Oryzias latipes: one gene and its partners. The protein of the gene in region 7 interacts with the protein of the main gene of each other region in a pairwise test. Links are inferred from orthologs where the notes say so. Each region holds a gene or a part of one and is shown on either strand. Other genes may lie near its edges. The genes, in order: pogz, pin1, exosc1, rbm46, growth factor receptor-bound protein 2, tusc2 and RNA-binding protein with multiple splicing.

The links.
Region 1: the proteins of RNA-binding protein with multiple splicing (region 7) and pogz interact in binary tests that used the Homo sapiens proteins (3 or more experiments, as listed by UniProt). The two-hybrid records come from large-scale screens. The link is inferred for Oryzias latipes from reciprocal best matches to the Homo sapiens genes RBPMS and POGZ.
Region 2: the proteins of RNA-binding protein with multiple splicing (region 7) and pin1 interact in binary tests that used the Homo sapiens proteins (3 or more experiments, as listed by UniProt). The two-hybrid records come from large-scale screens. The link is inferred for Oryzias latipes from reciprocal best matches to the Homo sapiens genes RBPMS and PIN1.
Region 3: the proteins of RNA-binding protein with multiple splicing (region 7) and exosc1 interact in a two-hybrid assay, tested with the Homo sapiens proteins (2 studies listed by BioGRID). The link is inferred for Oryzias latipes from reciprocal best matches to the Homo sapiens genes RBPMS and EXOSC1.
Region 4: the proteins of RNA-binding protein with multiple splicing (region 7) and rbm46 interact in a two-hybrid assay, tested with the Homo sapiens proteins (2 studies listed by BioGRID and IntAct). The two-hybrid records come from large-scale screens. The link is inferred for Oryzias latipes from reciprocal best matches to the Homo sapiens genes RBPMS and RBM46.
Region 5: the proteins of RNA-binding protein with multiple splicing (region 7) and growth factor receptor-bound protein 2 interact in a two-hybrid assay, tested with the Homo sapiens proteins (2 studies listed by BioGRID and IntAct). The two-hybrid records come from large-scale screens. The link is inferred for Oryzias latipes from reciprocal best matches to the Homo sapiens genes RBPMS and GRAP2.
Region 6: the proteins of RNA-binding protein with multiple splicing (region 7) and tusc2 interact in binary tests that used the Homo sapiens proteins (3 or more experiments, as listed by UniProt). The link is inferred for Oryzias latipes from reciprocal best matches to the Homo sapiens genes RBPMS and TUSC2.

Annotation. Positions count from the first base shown.
Region 1 is NC_019869.2:4,553,673-4,556,382, forward strand, and holds the end of pogz (pogo transposable element with ZNF domain), read left to right. Parts: coding exon 1-39; intron 40-121; coding exon 122-252; intron 253-1,263; exon of another isoform or gene 1,264-1,593; coding exon 1,594-1,888; 3' UTR 1,889-2,210; downstream 2,211-2,710. UniProt on the Homo sapiens protein: Plays a role in mitotic cell cycle progression and is involved in kinetochore assembly and mitotic sister chromatid cohesion.
Region 2 is NC_019859.2:22,494,304-22,498,416, reverse strand, and holds the start of pin1 (peptidyl-prolyl cis-trans isomerase NIMA-interacting 1), read left to right. Parts: upstream 1-1,313; 5' UTR 1,314-1,344; coding exon of another isoform or gene 1,345-1,369; 5' UTR 1,370-1,414; coding exon 1,415-1,472; intron 1,473-2,354; coding exon 2,355-2,437; intron 2,438-3,327; coding exon 3,328-3,436; intron 3,437-3,517; coding exon 3,518-3,628; intron 3,629-4,113. Other genes in the region: ubl5 (ubiquitin-like protein 5), read right to left, coding at 73-110, 208-291, 756-817, 1,117-1,220, 1,345-1,369. UniProt on the Homo sapiens protein: Peptidyl-prolyl cis/trans isomerase (PPIase) that binds to and isomerizes specific phosphorylated Ser/Thr-Pro (pSer/Thr-Pro) motifs.
Region 3 is NC_019859.2:28,378,096-28,382,324, forward strand, and holds the start of exosc1 (exosome complex component CSL4), read left to right. Parts: upstream 1-1,429; 5' UTR 1,430-1,506; coding exon 1,507-1,534; intron 1,535-3,367; coding exon 3,368-3,483; intron 3,484-3,749; coding exon 3,750-3,824; intron 3,825-4,229. UniProt on the Homo sapiens protein: Non-catalytic component of the RNA exosome complex which has 3'->5' exoribonuclease activity and participates in a multitude of cellular RNA processing and degradation events.
Region 4 is NC_019876.2:1,243,565-1,246,489, reverse strand, and holds the end of rbm46 (probable RNA-binding protein 46), read right to left. Parts: coding exon 2,794-2,925; intron 2,448-2,793; coding exon 2,345-2,447; intron 1,674-2,344; coding exon 1,456-1,673; 3' UTR 1,454-1,455; intron 1,379-1,453; 3' UTR 501-1,378; downstream 1-500. UniProt on the Homo sapiens protein: Essential for male and female fertility, playing a crucial role in regulating germ cell development by ensuring the proper progression of meiosis prophase I.
Region 5 is NC_019866.2:2,919,979-2,923,973, forward strand, and holds the start of growth factor receptor-bound protein 2, read left to right. Parts: upstream 1-1,195; 5' UTR 1,196-1,466; intron 1,467-2,545; exon of another isoform or gene 2,546-2,753; intron 2,754-3,995. UniProt on the Homo sapiens protein: Interacts with SLP-76 to regulate NF-AT activation. Binds to tyrosine-phosphorylated shc.
Region 6 is NC_019863.2:8,091,158-8,095,164, forward strand, and holds the start of tusc2 (tumor suppressor candidate 2), read right to left. Parts: upstream 2,801-4,007; 5' UTR 2,683-2,800; intron 2,105-2,682; 5' UTR 2,015-2,104; coding exon 1,872-2,014; intron 432-1,871; coding exon 311-431; intron 222-310; coding exon 156-221; 3' UTR 1-155. UniProt on the Homo sapiens protein: May function as a tumor suppressor, inhibiting colony formation, causing G1 arrest and ultimately inducing apoptosis in homozygous 3p21.3 120-kb region-deficient cells.
Region 7 is NC_019876.2:8,063,188-8,067,316, forward strand, and holds the start of RNA-binding protein with multiple splicing, read left to right. Parts: upstream 1-1,329; 5' UTR 1,330-1,688; coding exon 1,689-1,751; intron 1,752-4,129.

The DNA of each region.
Region 1 (2,710 bases), on a different chromosome or scaffold from region 7:
GACGTCTGCGTGGCACAAGTCCTGCGAGATCACCTGATGGTACTGCCTCCCACCTGCGTCTGACCCCGCCCACCCTTCAGACTCATCAACGCCCTCTGTCTTGTTTGGTGATTGCTTACAGGCTCGATGGAACCAGCTCGTCGCAGAAGGAGGGCTGGACGGTCTGGGACTGGACCAGCTGGCTCTGATGCTGGCCTGCTGGGTCAGCGAGGCTTCCTTCACCCTGAACTCCAAGAAAAAGATTTTGCACAAGTGAGATTTCCTAAACCCAGCAATTCTGTGATATATTGCTATTTATTTGGCAATAGTGATATTGATTTCAAATGCTGCCAAAAGGATTTTAATTTCAGTATTCATGAGCAAACATGCAGTTTCAATGTCTTACTTTGTGTTCCACCTAAAGTAAAGCAGACGTTCACTCATTAGTCTCACAGTTGTTGTTGTTATAAAGCTCAATTAGACACCAACAACTCAGTTTAATCAGTGATGATGGGTACCAGAACTCTGCCAAGTTGGGACCGACCCATACCAAACCACTGGTACCGTATAAAAACGTGGATTCTGCTACTTCGTTTGGGACGGGTCGGTCACTATTTAGTGTTTCTGTACTATTCTAGCCATTCATTGAGTGAGAGTTCATCTGTATTTCACAATAAAAGATTCTAATATAGCCACCTGATGGACAAGAGTTACGTGTTCTATCATCTGATAAAAGGCAGTTGCCGTGGCGACGAAACCCACCTTTGTGAAAACGGAAAAGCGGTGCTGCAGTGCAGACTGTCAGAAAGAAGGAAGTAAAGTATCTGAGGCAGATTCAATCGCTCTCCTTTCCCATGATGCGCTGTTTTGTCACACGTAAGCGTCTTTGGAGAAAATTGGCGTGTTTTAAAAAAAATTTGTTTTTTACTTTTGGAGCACAGGTTCATTTAAGCACCAGAACTGTTTTAAAAGTCCCCATTTAGCACCGGCTAAAACCCAAACGGTACCCATCCCTAATTTGAGCAGAAATTTGAGATTTTTTTCATTGTTTCTATGATGATTTCATCCACCAGCTTTTGTCACATTCGTAAGGTTCAGTGCTTTGAAATCAATAGCCCTTTATTTTCTTAACCCATACCTATTTAACCTTATTGATTAAATTACTGTTAAGTTTGTGTTGTTGTTTTTTTGACAGACTGAAAAATAGTTTGTTGTAGAAACCAGACAGTGTTGAAAAACTGAATATCTTAACTTACCAAAATAAAAGCACCTGGGGCTTACATGTTAACTAAAATGTTTTTTAATTTTATTCATGGAAAAGTGTATTAGCATTCAGATAGTTTTGCTCTTTTAAAATTTGTGATTTTATTGTCTCTGTTACAGTCCTGTTATATGGATTGTGTCGTGATCCGCATCATAACGGCAGACTCTTGCTAGTCTTCATGTGCGTTCTGCTCATTTATAGATGGACTTCCTCTTTGTTTATTTTCTCATCTGTGAGCTTTGAAACAAACAGACGACATTTTCCGTTCGGGCCCCTGCTGTGTGACCGCGGCGTTCGTCCCTCTGGGGCCTCCGTAATGACGTCACGTTGCTCTGTTTCCGACCCCTCAGATCCTTCAGTTTGACCTGCAGCCTGGACCACTCGGAGGCTCCGGGGGAGGCGGCCAGGATGATCACGGCTCTGAGCGAAGCCCTGAACCAGCCCCCCGAGGCCGAAAAGGCAGAACCGAAAGTGACACCGTCGCAGGTGAAGGAGACGAAGACGGATCAACGTGAAAAAGAGGCTCCTGAAATGAGAGAAAATGAGGAAGAGGAGGAGCTTTGCATCAGAAGCCCTTCACATCTACGGCAGGTGTTTGATGGGGACAGTGATGAAGAGTCATTTCCTGGTTTCCCAGACTGCTGAGGCTGCGTCAGGCTTTTATTTTGAAATACCGATGAGCCTGGACCTGCTGCTGAGGAGCCTGTTAGTCTCTACAAACATTCAAAAGATGAAATTCCAAAGGACTCTGAACGAAGCTGCTAATTTCATGAATTAATATCTCTAAACAAGACGTTCAGAACTGACATTATCCAATTTAAATCTTTAGAGGTGATGTTTTTCTTCTCACTGTTCCAGGGCGGGACCTGGCAGTTACTCTTTTCTATATGTACAGCTTATTTTTGGGAATCATAAAGCGTTTGGGGTCTTTTGTAGCAAATTAATAATAAAAAAACAACAACAGTGACTTAAGTTTGTTGTATTTACTGCAAAATTCATCGTCAGCTTCTATATTCTGATTTCCATACAGAGTTATAAAAAACAGATTAAACTGGAAACACGAAGGAGGTTTATCCACGTCAGCTGGAATTTCAAAATTAAAACGTAATCTGCAGATTGGGGTCGGCGTAGCCTGCAGAAGCTGATGTATAAACCCAACACACGTTGACCTCTGACCTTGTCTGCATCCAACATCCCCGCTGACACTTAAATATAGCAGCCATGAGAACAAAGTCACTTTCCCAGCATGCTCAGAAGCAATACATTGACCCCCCCACCCCCCCAAAGGATGAGGGGGACCATCTGGAAGATGCTCGATGGGAAGGTATTTAAATCTCTTTAGAGACGAGGATCAATCCTGTGAATTCCTTCAGAATAATAACCGATGGTCCCAGCACTGATTTTCAGAATAAGAGCCGCCGATTGGTGTTAATTGGACGAATTCTCTATTTCAGTTTTTTTTCTGCG
Region 2 (4,113 bases), on a different chromosome or scaffold from region 7:
AGAAATTAGAGGGCAAATCGGTCCTTTCTGCATCAGCTTAGTAAAGGTCAAGTCAGTGCGTCAAAAGGATACAGTCACCGAGAGACACGTGATCCTTGAAGATGGTGTACCTATTAAAACAAGAACACATTTTCTAAGTAAAGAAGCCAAAAAGGGCAATGTTCATTGTGATGCAAAGAAGAAAAAGGCAAAGGAAGGCAAAGTTACCATTTCTTTAGTACAATTTTGTCATATCTTGTTCCCGTCTGTGCTGCAATTAGTTTCTTCAGGTCTCCAATTGTGTCCTCTGAGCTGTGCAAGGATGTTGAGGAGCAATTTGGTGACGTGGAAAACCCTTCAAAACAAACACTTCCAGCTTTCATGTCCTGAATGTTTTCAGTCTTTAGATTTTAAATAGAGCTGCATGATGGTGCAATGGGGAAGGCCCTGGTTCCAAACCCTGCTGGGACCCTTCTGTGTGGAGTTTGCTTGTTGCAGAGAAACCCCATGCACTCCGGCTTCCTCCCACAGTCGAAAATACATGATTCATAGGTTACCTGGTTATTCTAATGTAGGCCCAAATGGTTATTCTAATGAACCCCAAATGGGTTCATAAGGAAAGGGTCCATCCATAGCACGGTTACTGTGCTATGGATGGACCATAGCACAGTAACCCCCCCCCCCCTTAACTAATCAGAACCAGCATGTTGCAGTGCAGTATTAACAGCCAAAACATCTTTAGCAGATCAGCAAATCAAATGTGTTCAGAAGGATACTTGCACTTGACCCGGACTTTCTTCCCAAGACGATCGTTGCAAATCACCTCAATCATCGTGTACTGTGAAAAAAAGAGGAGCTAGTAAGCTGAAATATTGGAGTTATGAACAGGAACGACATTAATCGTTCACACCACTAACATTAAGTCAAAAGAATGTGTAATTCATTTTGCGTCAACAGCAGAAACTAAATTGACGATGAAATTCGACCAGCCATGATTTTTTTAGCTAACCCGTTAGCTTGTGCACACAACTCTTTTAAATATATAAAACATAAATTAGATGGCGCCTATTAAGATCAACTTAAGGTTTCAAAAATGTTGCCAGACGTGTTAAAAAGATCAAAAAGTGTAAAACATACGTTAAATGTAGCCCAAGATTGATGGATTTTCTTCACTAGTTGAAACCTTCTGGAAAGCTCTCGGTGCTCATCACCGTAGAATCGATGTCGCGTGTTATTGTCCTCTTAACCAATTAGATAGTAAGAAATATGATTGACAAGAGTTGAAGACCAATAGTAGGACGGACAAGCCGTTTGGGGGCGGGCCAAACTCAGAAAACAACTTTTGCCGTAAACCGACTGTCGTACCTGCTGAGCCGTAGCCGTGTCGCATCGTTTGAACGTTGAATTCTAACTTGATAACGTTGCAGCAGATAACATGGCAGACGAGGAGAATTTACCGTCGGGATGGGAGAAAAGAATGAGCCGTAGTTCAGGTAAATATACATAAGACGGGGGAGGCTGAATGTATGAGCTCAACTGCAGCCCACGAGAAGTTGATTTAGCTTATAGCTAGCCCGTGCATCGTGGTAAGCGAGGCTTTGTGAACTTGTTTCAGGTGAGGCTGTCCTGCTAATGCATGCATCGGGGTTACCGACACGGTTTCTATCAGGAAAAGTGCCGCTGGGAAAATACGGTTATGCTACGGTTTGCTTTATAACTAGCTTTTCCCCCACTTTTTTTTCTAATGGAGATGTTCTGCAGGGCCGCCGTTGCATGACGTCACCTGGAATTTGCGCAGACGCAGCTTAGACCTGATGTCTTGAAAGTATTTTGTGAATATATACGCACAGTAAAACTGACAATTTGGGGAATATTTTGTAAACAAGATCACTTTACATTTTTTTCATATATAGGTAATTATTTAACTTTGAGAAATCTACTAAACTTTCAGATCCCCCCCAAAATGTGATTTATTTCTGCAGATACGTCTGTTTATCTGATTTCTCTTCTTCTTTTACAGAAAATCTGTTTGGGTAGATGATTGCCTTGTAAAAACTTTAGGTGTTTTTTTTTCTGTTTTATTTGTGTGTTTCTTTTCAATGGAGTAAAAAGGAAGGATTGCAAAGGAACAGCTTTTTGCAGACCTATAAACTAAATTGAACACTGTCAGCAGTTGATGCATTGGTTTTATTCAAAACCATGCAACTTCATGACCAACTACTATGAAACAACAATAATACCGATACGGGGAATTGTGAGTGCTTTTGCAGTTTTAGTGGGTAAGGTCATGTAAACTGTAATTTGATTTTTGTGTCTTCTAATGTCTTGGATCATTCCAAAGGTGCTGATCAAACTGCTTTCTTTGCTGTTTGTAGGCAAGGTGTACTACTTTAACCACATCACTAATGCCAGCCAGTGGGAACGTCCTGTGGGAGATGGCCGTGGAGAGCCAGATAAGGTGGACTTCATTTTGTGTGTTTTATTAGCAATACATTTAGGATTGAAATCATAATAAATTCACTAAAGAAGTATTTGTAGAGCTTGTGATAGTGATGTACCGGTAATGATTAGTTTTAATGACATTCATATTAGGGCTGCACCATATGAGGAAAACTCGCCATATTAGTGATCAATATTGCGACGACGATAAAACATTCATGAACAAATAGCAAAACGACTAAAAACATCATTTCCATTTTACTGCAACAGTTTAATTTAAATAAGAGTCAACATAACTTAAATTATACTCCAAATGACCCTCGTCTACATAGGAGGCGAACGTCTAACCTAAGAAAAGCTTCAAAATAAATAAATAAAAGAGCCCCATCTGATTGGTCAATTTATTTGATTCGTTAAATACTCCAATATTTGTTTTAGCACATTTAAAGTAAACATTTATTGCTATTTTTGACGACTTTTGCAATATGCGAATTGCACAGCTTGAAATTGCGATAATGATACATTTGCGTTTTGTTGTGCAGGTCTAATTCATATGATCACTTGTGGTTTCCAGTACGATTTTATGGTCAATATTGGTTCAATCTAACTAACACTTGGTTGTTATTATGTTATAGTAAAGTAAACCGTCCCTTAAGCCAAATGGTATTTCCCGATATGGAAATAATATATTTATTTTAATTTGAAACAGTTTTATAATGTAATAGATCGATTCAATTAACAAATGCCTCAGACAGATTGTTCTGCTTGGATCGTAGGAATATAAATCGATTGATTGATCAGGTCAATTAGTCATTACACCCCTGCACAGAAACATTTTATAACACTTTCTAACAAATAGGTGATGATGTATTGTGTATCTTTTTGTGTTTCCTCCTTTCTCTCTCTCAGGTGCGATGCTCCCACCTCCTAGTAAAACATAATCAGTCTCGACGTCCTTCTTCCTGGAGGGAACAAAATATAACACGAACTAAAGAAGAGGCTATAGAGCTTATTCAGAGTAAGTAAGGCAGAGGACAGAAACACCAGATCTGTTTCAAATCTCTACTTAATCTGTCTTTTTTTTGGTTCTGTTTTCTAGAGTACATAGACGAAATCAAATCTGGGCATGAGTCTTTTGAATCTCTAGCCTCTCAGTTCAGCGACTGCAGCTCAGCTAAGAACGGTGGAGATCTGGGACTGTTTGCCAGAGGTACCAACATCATAATGGGAATATTGGGTTTTCTTAGTTTTAGTTCTTCAGCTTTTATGTAGTTATAAGGTAGTATTGTCCTAATATTTACAGTTTTTTAAGTAAAAATGCTTTCTAATTTTAGTTAAAAAATGCTTAATAATTAACTCTGTTTATAAGGTTTCCTCTCCAGCAAAAGCCTCATAAACTTTTTTACTCTGTCTATTTGTTGGTCTCTCAACATTGCTTTGTTGCATTTGCCAGGACAATTCTTATCACTTACTCTGGCACGGGTTGTCTTTTCTGTTGAATCAACCCACAAATGCCAAACTGAAGAGAAATTACACATAATGCTTATATTATACGTATTAGAAAACATGCAATTTAGTTTTAGTCTTCCTAAAATACCCAATTTAGTCTAAGTTGGCTTACGTCTGCATGTTTGCATTCATGATCTACATTTAACTCAAACCTCATCACCCACCTGATTAAAAAAAAAAGATAAT
Region 3 (4,229 bases), on a different chromosome or scaffold from region 7:
GCTATTTTTTTTAGAAAAACTGGAGTAAAGATTGATTTTATTTCCCTCTTATTATTTTCACTCATCAGGTTTTTCCTTTGAGTAGGACTACACAAAAGAAGATCAAACACGATCCCAATGACGACATCTCGCTCCAGCCAAATGAAATATCATTTTTTCCCTAATATTTGGAGGACTACAGATTTCTTAGTCGCATTGGTACGTTTCTCACTACAGTATTAAAGTTTGCAGCACTTCTAAGGCATTTCTCAAAACAGATTTTTCAAACTGCAAAACTCGATGCACAACCTGCAAAAGCGAGTCACTCTTTCAGAATGGAAAGTCAAATTCTGGAAAGGAAGTCAGTAGTTAAAAAATGGGTAGTTCAAGCTGCAAAAGCAAATCCCTTAATCAAAGTGGATGAATTGATCTTCAAAGTCAAGTATTTATGTCAGTGAAAGTTTCAGTGTCATCAAAATAACAAGTTATGACTCCAGCATCTTTGAACAATCAAGTCAAAAGGTTTATACATGTTTTCATTGAGACAGATTACTCTAAAAGTGCTTCCCAATACCATGTGAGACAGCATTACATACCACGAATGGCGTTTAGAAAACTGGAGTTTAATAAAAAATGAAGACACTGTATATGCACTTCTGCTGTAGACTCACAAAGGTCTTTTTTTAAATCTCTTTCTGCATGGTTTTCCTGCAATCCAGGCCATAGTTCATATGTTTTAACAGAGGGGAGTGGGAAGGGTGGGTTGGGTTTTTACTGTAATATTGTGTGTTTTCTGTTTTTAATGCTAAAGCGCTTCGAGCTGCACAAACGCATGAGAAGCACTATTTTATAAATAAAGTTTGATTTAATTTGATATGACATGGTTTACCACATGATCTTCAAGTCTTGCCCCATACTGAATGTAGTGACTGACCAAAGCTGTTTGTCTGATGATCATTACACAAACTAAATGACCTCCCTCCCAAAGAAGAAAAAAAAAGAAAGAAAGCAAGAAAACAAAAAAAGGGGAACACCAGTACTTAGTTTGACAGATTATCTCTGCTCATTAAGTCACAAATTCTCTACTTTGAATGGACATTAAATTTGTTGTTCAGAGTTGTTGACATTTGCAATATTACCGTTTGTGCGCAGAACAAAGTCATTTTATTTGAGCAGAATTAACAACTTTGTCATTTATAGAAATAATTCTAAATTAAACTTGCCAACAAAACCCAAAAGACTAATTAGAAACGAGAAAAAAATCGTTTTTAAAAGCTCTTTTTTATGCAGCCCACTTCTAATAAAAAAGTTTTTGTTAAATTGTATAAAATATTAAATTACTTCCAAATAAAATTATATATATATATCGATACAAAATTAACCAAATTATTTGTTTACTGCTACACCGTCACGTTTCATGCCCATGCGCACCTCTTTCGGACACACCCTCCCACTCTGAATTAACCAATCAGAGTCGCCTCGCGCCCGTGAAAAGAGCCAATTGAGTGGTGCGCGTCTTCCGCAAACATGTCTCCCACGAGGCTGTGCGTTCCAGGTAAGTCTCCGTAAAAACCGCTTTTAGCGGTTTTCTATTGGTTTTGTGTGTTGTTTTTTTGTTAATCCCGTTTGTGAGTCTGTCACTGGGACGCCAGAAAATGGCGTAAAATTCTCCGTAGCGGTATAACGTGTAAATGTTGCTGCCATAGCTACGCGCGATTTAGCTCGTCTTTGCGCACTCATCGTTTAGGTAGTAGTAAATTCGTAGATTTGCGTTTGTGTGCATGCTTATATTTCCCTTTTCTTACTTAGTTTGGGCGCGTGCTCGCATTTTCTGAGCTCCGAGACACGTGAGGGGGCGGGGAAGGCTCGACACGTGAAGGACTGTGACTTTTCCCACCCCCGAAAACTATGCAGTCGATCCTTAGGATCACGTGGTTATAGCGGGGCCCCATGTGGTCCCCTTCAGAAGTTCGGACGGGTACAACATTTTAGAATATTGACTATTGAAAGCTGCGTCATGCATCAGCAGAAATGTGGTGTTCGTCTGAAACAGCTTCTAGTCAGTTAAGTCCTGCTGTCTTTGTACAACAGTTCATCATCATTCACTACTGTGTCAAACTTAAGGCCAGGGGGCCAAATGTGGCCCTCCGTGTTATTTTATGTGGCCCGCGGGAGCATGAAAGTTTTTAATTTCTTAAAATGAAATGTTTTTTTAGTTGATTACATATTATTTGTGTAGCTGCAGTTGTAATTATACAATGTTTGCCGGTCTTGTGTGTGTATGCAGACAAATTGTTGTCATCAAACCATCAGTTGGATGCAAGGCTGTGAGCAGCCTTTTATTGTAAAATGTTACACGTGTAATTAATCTTCTTTCTAGCTCAGTTTTAAGTTATTTTTCTTTTTTCACTTGGACAGTTTGAGCGTGGGTTTTAATAAGCAGACAAAATGTAGAAGGATTTATGCTAAATTAACAAGCAAACATGTTTTCTATGCAACTGTAATTGTCACTATAAAACGTTATATTTAATAAATGAGTTATTTAACATTAAGGAGTAGTTACGTCTATCTTTCATTACATTTGGTTACATGTATAAGTTATATCTGGCCCTTTGAGGGCAGCTGTTATGCTGATGTGGCCCTCAGTGAAAATGAGTTTGACACCCCTATACTAATCAGTATTTACCTGTTTAATCAATTTTGAAAAGACGTATTGAAACTGTAGTTGGAAATGTGTCTTTTTAATAGTGTAAATATTGAAACAACAAAGCATTTAATGTTAAACTAGGAAAAGGTGAACATCCTGAGGAACCTTTTCAATAATCGGATCCAATATACATCTTGAATGTTATATTTGTCATTTAAACTAATGGCAGAATAAACAAATGTATAATTGCAGATGTCATGCCCCTCCACACACATGGAATGGACTCATAAATGAACCTTTGAATCTGAGCTGTATTTTACATACTTAGAGCCTGAAGATTATTTCACTAAACATTCAGTTATATATATATACTCTAGCTCCCCTTCCAATATACTATTTATGAAATCTCTATAATATTTATTTCCTTGTTGGAATTCAAAAACAACAATGTAATAAATAATATTGTTTATTGTTTGCTGTTTTGCATATGCATATGTATAAAGGAGCTTTGTGCCTCTGCTGTGAGAAAAACGAAGCAACTATTGCAAAGTTTGCAATAATTTCAAATGGAAAATTATCAATATTGAAAGAAAAACAAGAGGGGGGGGGCAGACACATGACAGGCTCTGATTGATTGAACACACCTGATCAGATAATCTGCTCTAGAAAACAGGTAAATCCTGTGGTTTTACTGTGGTTTGGCAGGAAGCCCCACCTTCATTCTGACCATCTGTGTCTCAGGTGACAAACTGTGCAGCGTGGAGGACTGCATTCTGGGAACTGGAGTGTATCTGCGGCACGGCTACATCTACTCCTCTCTTGCAGGCTACGTGCTGAAGAAGAATGAGGGGGAGCAGGTGAGGAGGGGTGGATCTAGCAGAGTTGACTTGTTGACACATCTTCCAAGTCTGTAGTTAAGGGGATTTTCCTTTAAAGAGAGAGAGTATTTTGTTTTAATTTTTTTCAAATTTGGGGACAAACTGTAGTTCATTTATCGTCCAGCCTTACCATTAGCCTGACTCCACCCACCCTCTAATCCAGAGGGATCAAAGTTTGGGATGGAACGGGGTGATGACGAGTCTGGTCCGCACTGGTTCTCGTGCACGTTTGTGGTGTTTTACAGTTACCTGTGATCTCTGTGGTCAGAGAAACAGAAGTCCAGCTGTTGCCAGATGTGGGCGCCATCGTCACCTGTAAGGTAGGAGGGGGGGCTGACACAGGTGGGACCTACACTTTTAGCCTCATTAGGAGATTTTTCCAGGACTTTGTCACATTCATGGTGCTTGTTTGGTAGCGGAATTGTTTGCAGATTAGAAATATAGATTATCATAGATAATTAATTAAATTTATTTTTTTAAACAGAAGAAAGTGCGATGATGACAAAATACATGTGGTAAATGGATTCAGTATTCCTGCCTTTGTCTTTGCTGTTTTCCTGCATGTTTTTAAAATCATAAATAAATAAAAACATCATAACTAAACTCACAGCTGTAGACTCCCTTCTAGTCTAAAGCAGCTCCACATTTGAAACTGGGTTGCATTTAGCATCACAGTTTGACATCTTTTCTGTCTGTTGCTGAACCACAGGGAGACTTTCAAAATC
Region 4 (2,925 bases), about 6.8 Mb from region 7:
GACCGTTCATGCTGCAGGTGACAGGGCGTAGCTAAAACGTATACAACACGTTAAGGGTTAATGTTAGAGTGTGGGATAAGGACGCCATACGGCAGCATCACCTGTACGACATAAGTGCGTGTAACTTCCATTATCCTTACGAACTCTTCACGATGCACTTACCACACGCACGACAATGGTACGTTCCGTTGTCATGACAACCTGTGAGGTGTCCGTATGAGCCTCAAGGTAGCTGCAAGACACACACCAGCACTCCGCTGCGACCCTCCACGGACCCAGACAACCGCACAAACCCACATCATAAGTACGGGTCTACAACCTGTGAACCCGGTACAGGTTTGAGCATTTCTCACTGCAGACAGCCGTCTCCACCCGTAAGGCGGCGGAGACTTAAGTTTCACACAAACGCAGTGGGTCAGTTTTGTTGTTCAGGCCCTCAGAATTTCAGTTTGTCGCACAAAACACACAACAGACAAATAAACAAGACCAACAGACAGATGTTATCTTCATCTGCTGAACATTTAATAATCAACACTTCTTTCCATTGGTTATAGATTTTTGAGCATTTTTTAAATACATATGATCACTTTTACCTAGAATATTTACTTTTTGATTTTTTATCTGCTTCAGTCTTTGGGTTTTTAATAAATACGGCTGATTTTCACAGTTATGATTGGGACGTCAATTTGAAAGTTGGACTAAAATTAAAGCAAAGAAAAGTTGTTTGAGAAAAGAAGAAAACAGTTTTTGAAAGCAGAGAACTTCCAACAAACATGTGAGCGATGGATGAACCAAAGCCTCATGAATCATCAAAAGAACTGAACCATCGATAGAAACGCAGAACTCTCATTTGAACTGCAATACAGCATCAAACTCCTCTGTTCAAAAGCCCCTCCTCCTCTGATGATGATGATGATGAAGATGCATCTTAACATTTATGTCAGTAGTGTCTACAGTCTTCTTCAGAAATGAACTAAACAAATTATTTTCAAAATATACGAAGACTTTTTTTTTTAAAAGATTGAATTTACCTTTAAACTCTACCAATCACATGTAAAAATGGGTGTTTAAATTAAAAAAAATAAAAAAATGTCTATTTTTAAAAGCTTTATTTAAACAACTAATCATCATTATTTTTTTATTTGAAAATAAATATGTTTATGGATTTTTGTTTGTCAAAAATCTGCAGATTTTCCCTGAAAACTGAACCCAAGCGGATTTTCTGAGCTCAGGCGGAGCTGCAGGTGAAACCAAAGGAGGAGGAGCTTGTGGAACGGGAGGAACTTTACTTTCTTTTTGAACACAGACATGAGATGAAGGGATGAAGATGGCGTCGAACTTCGTTCATAACTAACAGGAAGCCCCGCCTTTCTTCTTCCTGCAGGTGAACAGAAAGCAGGAGCTTCACCTGAGAGCCGGAGCGGCTCTGACGGGCGGAGGAGGACAAACTCACCGTCAGTAAAACAGAGACTGGGAGTTCATGAAGAGCCTCTGAGGCTGGGGGGAGGAGGAGAAGGTGGGGAAAGGCGAAGGAGGCGGAGGCGGAGGAGACAGGCAGGAGGGAAAGGGCTGGGCGCCGCAGGTCAGGATGCTGGAGCTGGAGTCGGGCAGGGACAGGGTGGAGGAGGAGGAGGAGCTGGGGGACCTGCAGGAGGCTCTGCTAAAGTAGAGGTCTGGAGAGAAGGAGACAAGACAGGAGACGTCTGGAACAAGCCTCCTCCTTCTGACTGTGGAGCACGGTGGAGAGGAGGCGATGGTTTGGGCCTCAGGCTTTGCAGGTCGTGTGAATCTGCAGATTACTTTCAAAATAAAAGCTCATGGTGTCCAGGTGGGGCAGCACAGATTTATAAATCCTGGATGTTCTTGCCGTCGCTCTCCAGGTGCTGCTTTACTTTTCGCTTATCTCCTTCTGCACAGACCTTCTGGAAGAGGCAGCCAGTAGCAGGCTCCCAGGGAGCTGCAGGTAGCTCAGGTTCCGGCTGCATCAGCTTTTTCAGCAGCTCAGCTGCCAATACTGCAAACGGGTCAGAGCAGTGGCTCCGTGACAACATGGTCCTGCGGCGTTCAGGTGACCTAGAATCTGAAGGAGGGCCGTGGCGCCGCTGCGTTCTGAACTTTGCTAATCAAAGTGAGTCAGCTGGAGATCAAGATGGTTCCTCAAACATCTGCTGGAGTTTGTTTACGAGGTCACAGCTTGTTTATGAAAAAAACATCCATCAACTTTTTCTACCGTTAACCGCACATGAAAACTGGACGAGGGACCCCACGCCCTGTGTGTGTCTGTGTGCATGTGTTTGTTTCTTTGTAGAAGTGCATTTGTGTGCGTGCATGCGTGTGTGTGTACCCAGGTTCCAGAGGGCGTTGTGGGCGGCGACCTCCTTGGCGTCTTCCAGCAGCAGACACAGCTTGTCGGGGATGAAGGTCCCCTGCGCAGACGGCATCACCACCTGCACAGACACACAGACGTCATGCTTTCAGAGTGAAGCTGTTCCGGTGGAGGGGTGGGGGTCTGATCAGGAACCAAGGCGGGGAGGACACTGTGTGTGTGTGTTGCTGAGCAGGAGGCTGGGTGTGTGTGTGTGCACGGTGGAGGGGGTGGGTCTCCAGAAGAAGCTCCGGGAACAGAAGAGGAAAGATCAAGCTGAGGAGTTCATGACGAGCGTCTGCACTGACATTTACAGAGACGCACAAAGGTTGCCGCGTCCGCGCCGAGCCACAAAGCATCAGAACACAAAGGCAATGAGAAATGTCAGCAGAACAGTAGCGGGTTGTGTAACCGATCCGTGTGAACACCTTGTAGAGCAGCAGCAGGTTCCCGTCCTGGTCCGGCGTGGAGTACAGGTGGTATTCGGGCGGGGGCCAGCAGTTCCTGCGGCAGTGGTACTCCAGCAGCGTGACGGCCGAGTTGATCTGACTGGGCTTCAG
Region 5 (3,995 bases), on a different chromosome or scaffold from region 7:
TCCAAAGTTATATCAATTTGTTCAGTTCTAGCCATGAATGCATGCATTACATTTTCTCAGTCAAAAAATGTGCAAGTAATAGGTAAACGCCTCTCTCTGAGCTAGCCACGCCGTTCAAAATCTACAACTTCTAATTGCAACATCTTCTCCACAACTGCTTTCGAATGATGGCCGAGAAGTTAGGAAAGGATCGATCAAAATCCCTAGGACAGGTTTTCCTTTGTATCTGGTCCTAAAGGTGCTTTAAAAAAAAAAATTCAAGATGGCTGCCTTTTTCCAAGGTGAAAGGTTGGCAAAATTCCAGGGGTTATGGTAGACTTGAGATAGTAGTATGTTCGTAAAATCACGTCAAAATCGCTCTAAATAAAGTTCATTTTCCCATATTGTGGGAACAAAAAGTACAAAATGGCCATCGTGTTGCCATCCCATAATGATTTCAAAACTTCTTTTGGATATCCCCGACAAGTGTAAATTGGTGTTGTTAGTGAATTGTAACTTTTCTTTCCCCGAATTTCATTTTTCAGCTGAGTCAGCGAATTTATTTGCAACATTTTTTTATTTACCACGTCCAAAGTTTTAACACTGTCATATCGCATGTTACATTTTTGCGTTCAGCTTGAGTCAAAGAATTCCTGGACACCCTTTTCAAGACATTCCGGAAAAAAAATGTGCGAGCTAAGATCGCAACAGTTGCAAACCCACCACGCCCACGCCGGTCAAAATCTACAACTTCTAATTCCAACATTTTTGGAATACAAGCCTTTATCAGCTTGTATCGTAAACACATCAGATGATTGAACCATCTCATTTACATATCTTTGCATCTCCCAGCTGTAGTGAGGTGCAAAGCAAAACATTTTTATGAGTCTACCATGAGCTGACGCGTGTTTTTATTTCTTCACTGCAAACAGTCCAACATTGTGAGGCATTGTTTTAACGGCTGGCCTGCACACACACCTGCACGGCTTCCTCCCAGCCTTGGCTTTGCCTCACCTGTCTTGCGCGCACAGATAAGTGGGTATTTGTCTTGTGGTATTGAGTAACTGAGCGAAGGGCGGATGTGAGGTATCCACCTGCAGCTGCAGCACAAAGAGAGCGGTTTGGAGATTCAGGTCAGGCACTTTCAGACTTTGCTGCATGCTGGTGTTGCAGAGTGCAGCTCAGGAGGCGTTTAGCCCGATGCTCTGTGCTGCTGGATCTCTGGAGGCAAATGAAGTTTCCCTTTGCAGGACGTCCTGGCCGAACAAGTGAGAACAAGCCATGCTGAGGTTTACGAGAGCGCGAACAGATGTGAAGGACACGCACCAACCAAACAACGTGTCGCCAACACTTTGGCATCTCAGGAAAAACACCACAAGATCAAACGTGTCATCACAGATGATTCTAGAGCAGGGGTCTGCAACCTGTGGCTCCTGAGGCACATGTGGCAATTCCTCTGTGGCTCTCAAATATCTGCAAAGTAAACTGTAAGTAAGAAGTTAAGTTAAAAAACAAACAAACAGACAGTTGAAAGATTTCAACGGATTAAATGTTTTTAAAAAATACGGTGAGAGTCACTTCACTTGTTCTGGTTTATTTTTTGGTTTGTTTGACAAATTTCTGACTGAGATGCACCACAAGCGGTAAAATTAACACTTTAAAAAACACTAATGCTGCTGAGATGAACCTAAACGATACAGGGTGTATTTTATTTTGAAAGGAAGTCATGTGACCCTCTGAAATTAGTACATTTTCTCTGTATGTTTTATTTATGCCATAAAACAACAGTTTGTTTATATTTATAAAAACAGTAACATAAGGTCAGTGTGTCAATTTTCTAAAGGGTGAATCCAGACTTTGTGGCTTCTTTAGGTTGTAGTTGGGAGCAGCAGTTATTTTTATTTATTTATGTATTTTATCCGTATTTTTCTGAACTGTTTTAAGCTGGTGACAGGAAGATGTCTGTCTATGTTTGAACTGTTTTCTGAAAAATATTTACTTGTAGCTTTATTTAAAAAAAAAACAAAACAAAACAGTGTATTGACTGTTTTTTTAACAATTTCTCGTCTGTTTTTGGGGAGGAAGAGACGCTGTTTGCCCTTCCAGGACGAATGAGTAAATTTGCATGAGTAAATATACTCTGAAGAACATTTACTATCCGCAGCTCCTGCTGTTTCCTTTTATCTGCTTTAAAAAATGGCAAACCTAGAGACGAGAAAAGAAAAACCTAACAAGTGAAGTTGAACAGTTGCCAAGATTAACAAATCAGACTAAATAATTATTAACTCTGAATGACTAACTAATCAAAAAATTCAATTTTATGAAGACAGCAGCTTTTTTTATTGTAGGAACTCATTTAAATGTTTGAAAAATATTGTTTTATTTTGAAATAAACATTTGTAGAAAAAATATTTTAAAAAAGCAAATTCTGTTTTAAAATGCATTTCATATTTGAAAACTAAAATATATAAATGAAAAGTAATATTTTTGCCTTGATACATGCGAGTGGCATAAATGACGTGTAGGTGGCGCTGTTCAGAAACCCCAGTCTGTCTTTTATTTTGGAAGGTTCCAGGAAGCGGCGCGAATTACTTTGTAGAAGAGCGGCTGTGCTCACGCGGGGACTTGTCAAATTAAGCCGCGCTGTCAGGGAGCGCACGCGCCTCGTTTGTTGGCTTCGGATGCTGCGCTGCGGACGCCGCTAACTTCTCGGGTGTGCTGCGGTCTGACCCGCGGAGGGAGCCGGTGTCGGGTTCGGAGCAGTGTCCGGAGAGGTGAGCAGAACAAAACCGAACCGCGGTCTTTCTGTCATCTGTGTGCCCAAACGCCACATTTAAGAGTGTTTTTAAACCGCACGCGGACTACTTTATTTTGAAGAGCACCTTCGGTGACGGAGAGTGGCGGAGGTTCTCTGAGTTTAAACAGAAATGCCAGCAGCAGCGGCTGCCCGCGCTTGAATGTAAATGTTGTTCCCCTCAGTTTGGGGAAGTAGTGCTGTGAAATAGTGTTTAACAAAAAGAAGAAAAAAAAAAAAGAAAAAACGCGCGCGGACGCCTTTTGGGTCGCACCTTTGACACGTTCAGCCCGATGTGGGCCAGGTGTGAGATCGGGAACCTAACCTAACCCGACCCAACCCGGGCTGGAGCATCAGCTGATGGAGAGAAACCTGAGCAAAGTTAACACAGATGAACTCCACAGCTGAATGGCGTGTACCTGTCTGTCTGACACACCTGTCTCACCACCATCTCCGCGTGCGTGGAGGAAGTGTTTAAGGGGGGTTAAGAAAACTCCAAGTTAATAAATCTCTTCTACAATACTATGTAGTCACTTTCAAATTGTAATGGATTACTTCGTTCTAAAGTAATCCATTTCTCTTTCTGAATGTGGTACACAAATACTACATTGAGATTACTTTACTACAGAAGTATTTGATCAAATCTGAGGTGACAAATCTAAAATATTTGTCATTTTTAAGCCTCAGCATAAAGAAGTACTCTAGAAGTTTATTTTATTAAGTGTAGCAAGAATACTGTGGAGTATGTAGTGTAGAAAGCAAACTAAATACTACTTCAGATTAAATTGGAACATTAAAAGTAAACTTTACAGAACATTGCCTCGCTTTTAGTAATACTTGTAGTACTCTTAACGTGTAGTTAATACAAATACAGTTGATTTACTTAAGAGTAAACAGAAAAAGTGCTGCAGCTTTGAATGTGAGCTCTGTCAAATACAGAAACCACAGGCAAAAGTTTTTTTTTCATCCTTGAACGCCTCGCTCTCTCACCACATCGAACAACCATCAGTTCCTTAAGAAACTCTAATTACTGGACATTTAACGAGTAAAATATTAATGAATAGGATTAATAAGTATTGAACAAGTTTGTAACAACACAAACGAAGGAGTTGCTGTACTTTTTGTTATTCCCAACAGCCTCACTGCCAGTTTCAGTGTTCATCTATTTTTAAAAACAGGATTTCTGCCGACAGTCGAGAAGCAAACATAGCCGCGATTACAG
Region 6 (4,007 bases), on a different chromosome or scaffold from region 7:
TGTAGAATTTCTGTCATTTAAGTTTAACATGACAGCTCCACGCTCTCCTCAGTATTTGGGGCCAGATTTTCAGTTTTAAAAGAAAAACATCTCAATAAATGTAGTTTTAATTGTGACCGACAGCATATCATCTCACTTCAGTCCTGGACAATTCCTTACACCTCACAGAGGACAATGGGGAAATCCACATGAATACAAGGATGGTCAAGCTTCACAATTCCCTACATAGAGAGGAAAGGAAAAACAGTTTTCATGTTCAAAATGTTCTCATCAAACATTCCCAAACCATACCCGAGTGTTCCCAGCTCACCTGTGGAATCAGGTTTTTCTGTATTCTCTTCAACTTGGATCTTTTTCTGCCATTTTTGGTCACCACTGTCTCCTCGTAGAACTCATGAGCTAGATCGCCGTCCTCGTCATAGTACAAAGAACTGTCAAAACGGAAGATAAACATTAGACTCTAATTGTCATGTCAGGTCATGTATGAGGTTTAAGAATTTAACTGTGGAAATTCTTCTTTTTTTCAATTAATTACAAAAAAGCCAAACCTTTTCTGTTCTCTAAGCTAATTATTTAAATATGTTTTTCATATTTTACAGATCTTTTTTTCTCAACAATTTATGCCTGATCCAATTTATTTCCCTTTAAAATTGCATCAGATTAGGGCTGGGCCATTAAGCCAAAAATAAAATCTCAGATATTTTAGATTAGAACCAGACTTGATTTAGGAATTTACTTGTTTTTTTTCTTCTCTTCCTCCCTTTACTTTTTTTGACAAAAATTACAAAATAAAAGAATATATTTTTGAAACAAACAGTCTTTTATTTTAACATCTCCTTTGGGAGTTAAACTGAATTCAAAGTGCAACTAAATAAAAGCTAAAACAAAAAGTTTGTAAAACAATCTGGCAGTTGTTTTGAGAGCTGCTGCTGTAGAGAGCAGAACTGCTCTCTGTTTCAGGGGTTGAAATGAATTTATCGTACTCCCACTTTTGGTAACAACAGCCTTCAAACAGGATTTGCAGCGTTGCTCCAAATCTGAAGTCACAAAAGGGAACAATTTCCATAGAACAGCAGAAACAAGCTCCTCTTTGCTAGCAGATTTTTTCGAAAATCCTGATTTTCCAAAAACAAATCTTAAAAGGAAAATTTAAATTAATCAATAAAATGGATTTATTGCCCAGCCCAACATTACATTTGGACAAAAAAAAAGAAAAAGTTGTTTAACTTTTAAAAAAAAATGAATTGCCACATTTTTTCTGCCTTTTGCTGAACCAACTATTTTGCTGAGAATTCTTGTTTTTTACCCAACCAGGTATCTGATCGTTGTGCTCCGAGTTCAGATTTTCATAAAGTAGTTGCATCCTCAAAGCAAAGTGCAGAAAAGACACAAAAAATGCTCTGCTGGTTTAAGCACTTATATATGTTTTTAAAAGGAGGCAGTGTTGGGGTGCGGCATCCTTCTTATTGAAAGAGACTGAAACAATTTCAATGTAGAATGATGAGGATTTTTTTCCCCTCCCGGAGATATTTTCAAAATTTAAAGGAAAAGCCTGAAAACAATCCGGAAGTGCACCTCAATAACTACACGGGATCAAAGTGGTTCCTGTTGGTTCCCTTGAGACAAATTCTGATTAAAAAAAATATATTAGACACATTGTGTTAACAGAAAATTTAGGACATTTATTTTGGCACAAACCATATTTTAGCCTACACAACAAATGTGTGTTACTTATAAATGAGGCACAGATATCTTAAGTAATTAACAAGCTTTTTAAATGATGCAATGTCCTTTTTCCAATAAGCCTTTTTCCCCACAGAGAAATAGTCCAGCATTAAAGAGTCCCATGTTTGCTGCTGTTTAAGAGTTACCTCCTTCTTGTGAAAACATATGGTGTTGCATTCCTGGAACCCTTTAGGCGGGCCAGAGACTGTTCGTTTCCATCACTGCCTGAATCACTTGAATTGCCTGAGAAAGGCCAGACACCTTTAACTTTGGACCCACTTCCTCCCATTCTCAGACATAAGGCATCGTTGATCTCCTCAAGAAGCTTTCGGTCAGTTTGGTACCGCGGTTCAGCTCAAATGTCTGCACAGTCGAGGACCTAAAGTGTGGACAGTTCAGGAAAAGAATTGGATGAATTCCTTTTCGTTTGGCTGCAAAAAAGAGAATTATTGGCCTTTCTTCTTAGCTAGCGCTTAACCGTCGCGTGCTAACATGGACCGCTATAGAATTTTCTAGATGATTTACTACGTAATCAATAGTTTCATCTTGTACGTATTAACTCAAAACGGGTGAGACTAATCATATATTTTTTCTTCTGAGCAGATGGAATCTTTTAGCTCAAACAAACGCTATCTGGGTCATAAAAGTAAGTAACGTTATGAGTCAAATTCAACATTAATTGACATAAACAAAAAAGCCAAGAGAACCAGCATTTATTCTGACTTTTTTAAACTATTAATCTCAGCTATTTGACTGTTGGTAACATGTTAAATAGCTGATAAGTCGCTAACGATACCTGCCTCTCTCTGTTTGGGTAACACAACCCAGTAAGCTGGCTAGCTTCGACATGCTCAGGTTAGCTTTCGTTAATGAACGATTTCCCGCTCGACATTTTGGTCTACCAAAACATAAACTCTGATAGAAACAGAAATAAAATATTAGCTCATATTATTTCACCTTTTTGTTGTATCCTTTTTGGCCTCCGTGTTCAGCCATGACTTTGTAGCCAGCTGTTTAACTAGCGCTGTTTGTTTTGATCCTAGGGAGGACGTGACGTCATAAAAATGTAGGCCATTAATTTGATAGTTTTATCTGTCAATCTTTTCAATAATATCAATTGGGTAAAAAAGCATGCCAGATAAATTTTCTATACATAACCAAATTAAAGAAATACATTAAAAAATCGACATAACATTTATCCCACCAATGTGTTTGTATTGAAATTCTCAAATAAATAACAGTAGTTTTTGTAATGATTCCCTAATAAATAAATAAATGTAAAGGTTTTTCACCTTTTCTACTTTTGTAAATTCTCCATTGAATTCTGGAACTAATCAGAACGATTTGTAAACATCAAATCAAAAAGTATTAGGAACCTTCAGCTTCTCCAGAACTCTGCTGCACGAGTTCTTACAAAGACCAGGAGGCGAGCTCACATCACCCCAATTTTAAAATCCCTGCATTGGCTCCCCATATGCTTCAGGATTGATTTTAAGATACTTTTAACCGTTTTTAAATGTCTTAACGGTCTTGCGCCTTCTTATTTATCAGATCTTTTAGTAAGATATGAACCCTGGCGGACCCTGAGATCCTCTGGCACTGGTCTGTTGACCATTCCTACTGTAAAAACTAAAACCTATGGAGAGGCTGCATTTCAGCATTATGGCCCCCGTTTGTGGAACAGTCTGCCAGAGGGCCTGAGAGCCGCAGAGAGCATTGATGCTTTTAAGAAAAGGCTCAAGACCCATCTTTTTAACCTGGCTTTTAGCTAATTTTTTACTACTTTTATTTATTTATTTATTCAGTTATTTATTTATATGTACTTTTTATTTTTATTTTATTTATTTATATATCCATTTTATCTTGTTTTATGAACTTGAACCTGATTTTTAACGTATTATTTTAATTAACTTTATTTTACTGTTTTATTGTTTTTATCAATATGTTTACTTGTTTATTCTCATTTTTATTCAATTTTATTTCCGGTGCTTCCTCAGCTGGATCCTCTCCCTCTGGGTCGGCGGCTGTTCAGCCACTGCAGCTCTAGATGGGGACCTGCATCACTGCTTAGCTGTGGTGGAGCGGTCCCCGCCTGTGATGCTGCATTTGGCTGTCTATGCGGCTGTTCACAGAGGGCGAGGTTCCATTTATCAGCGTTTCCAGCATCCTGTTTTTGTGCTCAACCTATTTCTCATTGTCCTTGCCATCACTTAAGGGGTGGGAATTGTGAAAGGAGTGATGGGGGTCTAGGTACGGGGAGGGGGGCCCTATTTATTTATTTA
Region 7 (4,129 bases):
TTGCATGTTTGTGCAAAGCCCAAAAGAAAAGCTGTTTTTCTCCATGTCAGATTTAGCTGATTCCCATTGGTTTGGTAAACGATCATAGAGTTAGGCCAAATCCAGATTCTTCCCCTACCCCTACATTTAGTCCCCCAGACGGAGAGTTATAGAAACATAATGCCTTCAAATTCGGACGTTACTCCCATTCAATAACATCATGAACAGTCGCTGGTCAGCTACGTTAGCACGGAGCAGCTGGTGCTCGGAAATACCTAACAACATGTAAAACGTCAGGCTAAAGGAAAAAGTCATTACTTAGGGCTCGACATCCCTCCGCAGCCATGGGTTAGCCATTAAAAAACTATTTCGGACAACCCTATCCCTCCAAAAGCCCCTACAATTGGAAGGGTAGGGAGAAGCCGTAGGGGTAGGGGAAGAATTGGGATTCGCCCTTATCAAAGGGCGTGTGTTGTTCAGCTGTTGCCAGCGAAATCTCCGATGTTAAAGGGTTGAAAGACCCATCCGCTCATCTTTTGAGCTCTTTTTAAAGCGTTTCCAGTGGTCTTTTAATTATGATTGTACCGTTTTCCAAAACCAAAAAACCTGTGTTGGTTTCTTGGTCATAGTTTCTGCAAAGCGGCAGTAGTTCATTAGAAATTCCCCTCTGACATGTGGGCGGGACTGCTGGCATGGAGCAACCCCGCTCCCCCTTACCCTCCCCGTTGTTGAGAGCTCTCTGTTTACACTCTCTCCCACTACCTTACAAGCCCCTCACACCCCCAACCTGACATTAGCAGTGCAAGAAAAATGGCAAGCAGTGTTACAGCTATACAACCATACCAAGACGTACATGGATTTAGTCGTCTACAAGGGATGCGTCAGAACGGAGCCGCCCACCCAGCGTATTTCTGACATCACAAATACGATCTTCATCTCCTGATTCACAACGATTTGAATTTTTAAAATTCTCAAAAATGTATAGCATAATACTGATTATCTGAAAATAATAATCGAACAAGATAACCAGGACGACAAGCTTTACACGGTTGACACAATTATTCTAAAATTGAAAATTTCTTTATTGATAATGTAGAAATATTTCATACATTTCTTTGGAGCAACAACAACAAAAAAAAGAAACTCAACCTATTGTCCCTGATAAAATAAATAAGCCAGCACATTGAAAGACTATCTCAGGAATGTTGCCGGGACTAAAATAACACGCAGCTGGTCCTAAAGTTGACTGATACTGATTTTCCACTGAAGCTCTCCCTCCACGAGGCTACTTGATAAATCTTGATCGGGCTGCGGCGCATCCCACTCCTTACCCCACCCTAAACCCCTCCCTCGCGCGCGCGGAGATGGGGAGAGAAGTTTGCCTGCGGCTCGGTCCAGCGAGCATTGACTGTTGAGGAGACAGGGGCTTCTGGTTTCCAGGGAATGCTGAGGAATACCCGCCCGCAGGCTCACCTCACCCCGCTTTGAGTGGTAAAGACACGAGGCAGGCAGGAAGAAGGAAGGAACGGGGGGTGGCATTTAGTGGGATTCATGTGGCAAAACTAAAAGTGAAGGAAGCTCGGGTCAGTGGGACAGCGGGCGCGCGCGCGGACTGCCTGTCCTGTCGAATCCAACGAAGGAGCCGAGGAGGAGAGACCGAGACCAGAAGACGACCGTCCCGAGCGAGAGCGACACGAGTGCGGCTCAGGATGAACAACAACAAAACCGAGAAGGAGAACGAGACGACTGAATTCACCAACCACGAAGAGGAGGTACGCGGTTCCACCTTAAATCAGACGCCAGAACTACTTGTTAGGCGGTGTAGCCGCTTTAGCCTTCCCGGCCACCCGCGTTCTACCTGTTAAGGTGAACCCGAGTCAATTAGAGTCGAGTTTATCCTACTAAAAGTTGTCACATCCAGATGTTTGACCTTAACATCCTTATGGTTTCATTAAAGTTAGATGTCAGTCATTCCCTTATATTTTCTTTTTTTTTTTTAACCTTTTTTTTATTTTTTTTTTATTTCTCTTTTGTTATTGGGCTGAAACATAACGTTTTTCAATCAATAAATGTACGTTTATACCCATTTTCCCTCTATAAAGTGGATTTTTTTTTTCATGAAAAACAGCTTTTTTTTTAGTTATAATGTAAAATTTTATAAACGAAAGTTTCGTCCTGGTTCAGTTTTAACTGCAATTTGGGTGAAAACAGGTTTTTGTGACCAAAGAAAATTGGTTTATGGGTGAAAATGTTAAAAAAAATGCATTTCATTTTGAGATCGGCCCCTTCTTTAATGCAATAATTGCTTTACTCATTAAAACATGACTGTTTCTTAATTTGAAGGCAGGTTGTGGGCTACAGTTTACTGAAAAGCCATGCAGTCAGGGAGACTTAGTTCTCACTGAAGATGAGCAAGGCATTGAAGTTCAAACAACTAATGCTGCAACATGTAGGCAATGACTCTATGTAATCCTACCTCACAGTCAAACAACAGGAGCCTCGTCCCGCATCTGGATCTAAACACAACACACTAACGTGTATTTGTCAGAAGATAAACGCTCGGTTTCTTGACCTTGGTTCGAGTCCATCCGCGTCTTTTTGGTTCGGTTTTGGAACCGATTTGCACGAGCTCTTTGTTGTTTCAGAACCCGCCTCTGCACCCGAGGGAAGGGAGGAAGGTAGATCAGATTATTTCTCTTGGAGTAATTTGATTAAAACTCAGCAGAATGTTACTCACTGACTGATAATAACCCAACACACTCGAACTGATGTAAGACTGTGTTTTGTTGGTTACTGTGGAGTCTGTGTACCCCCATAGAGTTAACGAAACCCTGAAAAAAATGCATTTTTATGTGGTAGAGCTCAGGTTTTTTTTCTTCTTTCTGGACAAATAGTAATAAAGATTACTTTTTATCAATGGGACAAAGATACGCTTGTGTGTTTTTAGGTAATAAACTACTTAATGAATCAATACCTGGCTTTTGTCAATAAGATAACCTCCCAATACCTAAAAACAAGAGGTGTCCTGAGCTTCTGTTGGAAAATATTGAGTCATCTGTCCCAAAGTGTTCCAAGTTTGTTTTTTCTCTTACTTATGTAGCTTTTCTCAGGTTAGATTTCACCTTTTGAACCTATTCATTAGTGTTTTTGTGACAGAGGTCTCTGTACCCTCAAGAGTTCCCGAAACCCTTTAAAAAAAAGTGTATTTTTATTTAGAAGAGCTCTGGGTTGTTCTTTTTTTTTTACTGGACAAATAGTAATAAAGATCACTTTTTATCAATGGGGCAAAAAAGGTTTGTGTGTTTTTGGTTAACAAACGACTTAAGCAATCGATAGTTAGTTTTGGCCCATCCGATAACCTCTGGATTGCTAAAACAAAGGGGGTCTAGAGCTTCTGTTGGAATAGAGAAAACTGTACTTGAATGATTTATCCTAAAGGGGCCCAGGTTTCATGTTTTCCCTCTTTCAAATGGAGGTTTTCTCAGGTTAGATTTCCTCTTTTGAACCTATGCTAAATCGGCAGTGTTTTTGTGACGTTGGACATCAAAGAGACCCAACAGTCCTGACGCGAGTAGAAAAATGATTCTCTCGACCTGCGTCCGGCTGGAAAAGTAGTACTCAAGCGGACTCACCGGACGTGAGTTGTCTCGAGTTGCTTTTTTTTTTTTTTCGTAAGAGAGACGGGGAGAGTAATGGCCAGAGGAATCTAATGTGGAAGCATTTTGGACGCCATCCAGACGAGCGAGGACTTAAATTCACTTGAATGGATTAGCGTAAGGTTAGACAGCCCCCACTTTATCTTGGGTGTAATGATGTGTGTTGCATGCAAGAGTAGCGGCAAGGTTGGGGGCTTGGAAGTGAAGCCGAACCCAGTTCTGCACACGTAAATGCGCCTTTTCCCCCCCCTCCTTGATTCATCCAGGCATTAAGCTGGTGTGGAGCTTTCTCAAACGGCCTCATTTTACACATTAAAATGCAGAACCCCCTTCCAGTTTCACTGCAGGCACTAAATGCTTAACAGCTTTCTGCTTTACTGCACCTACGTATCAATAAACTAACCTTATGATGAGCCAAAGTTTAACAGTCTGGTTGTTTGTGTGACTCTCATGCCAAACAACGGCCTCAACGGTCCTCATGCCACCTCCCCTCA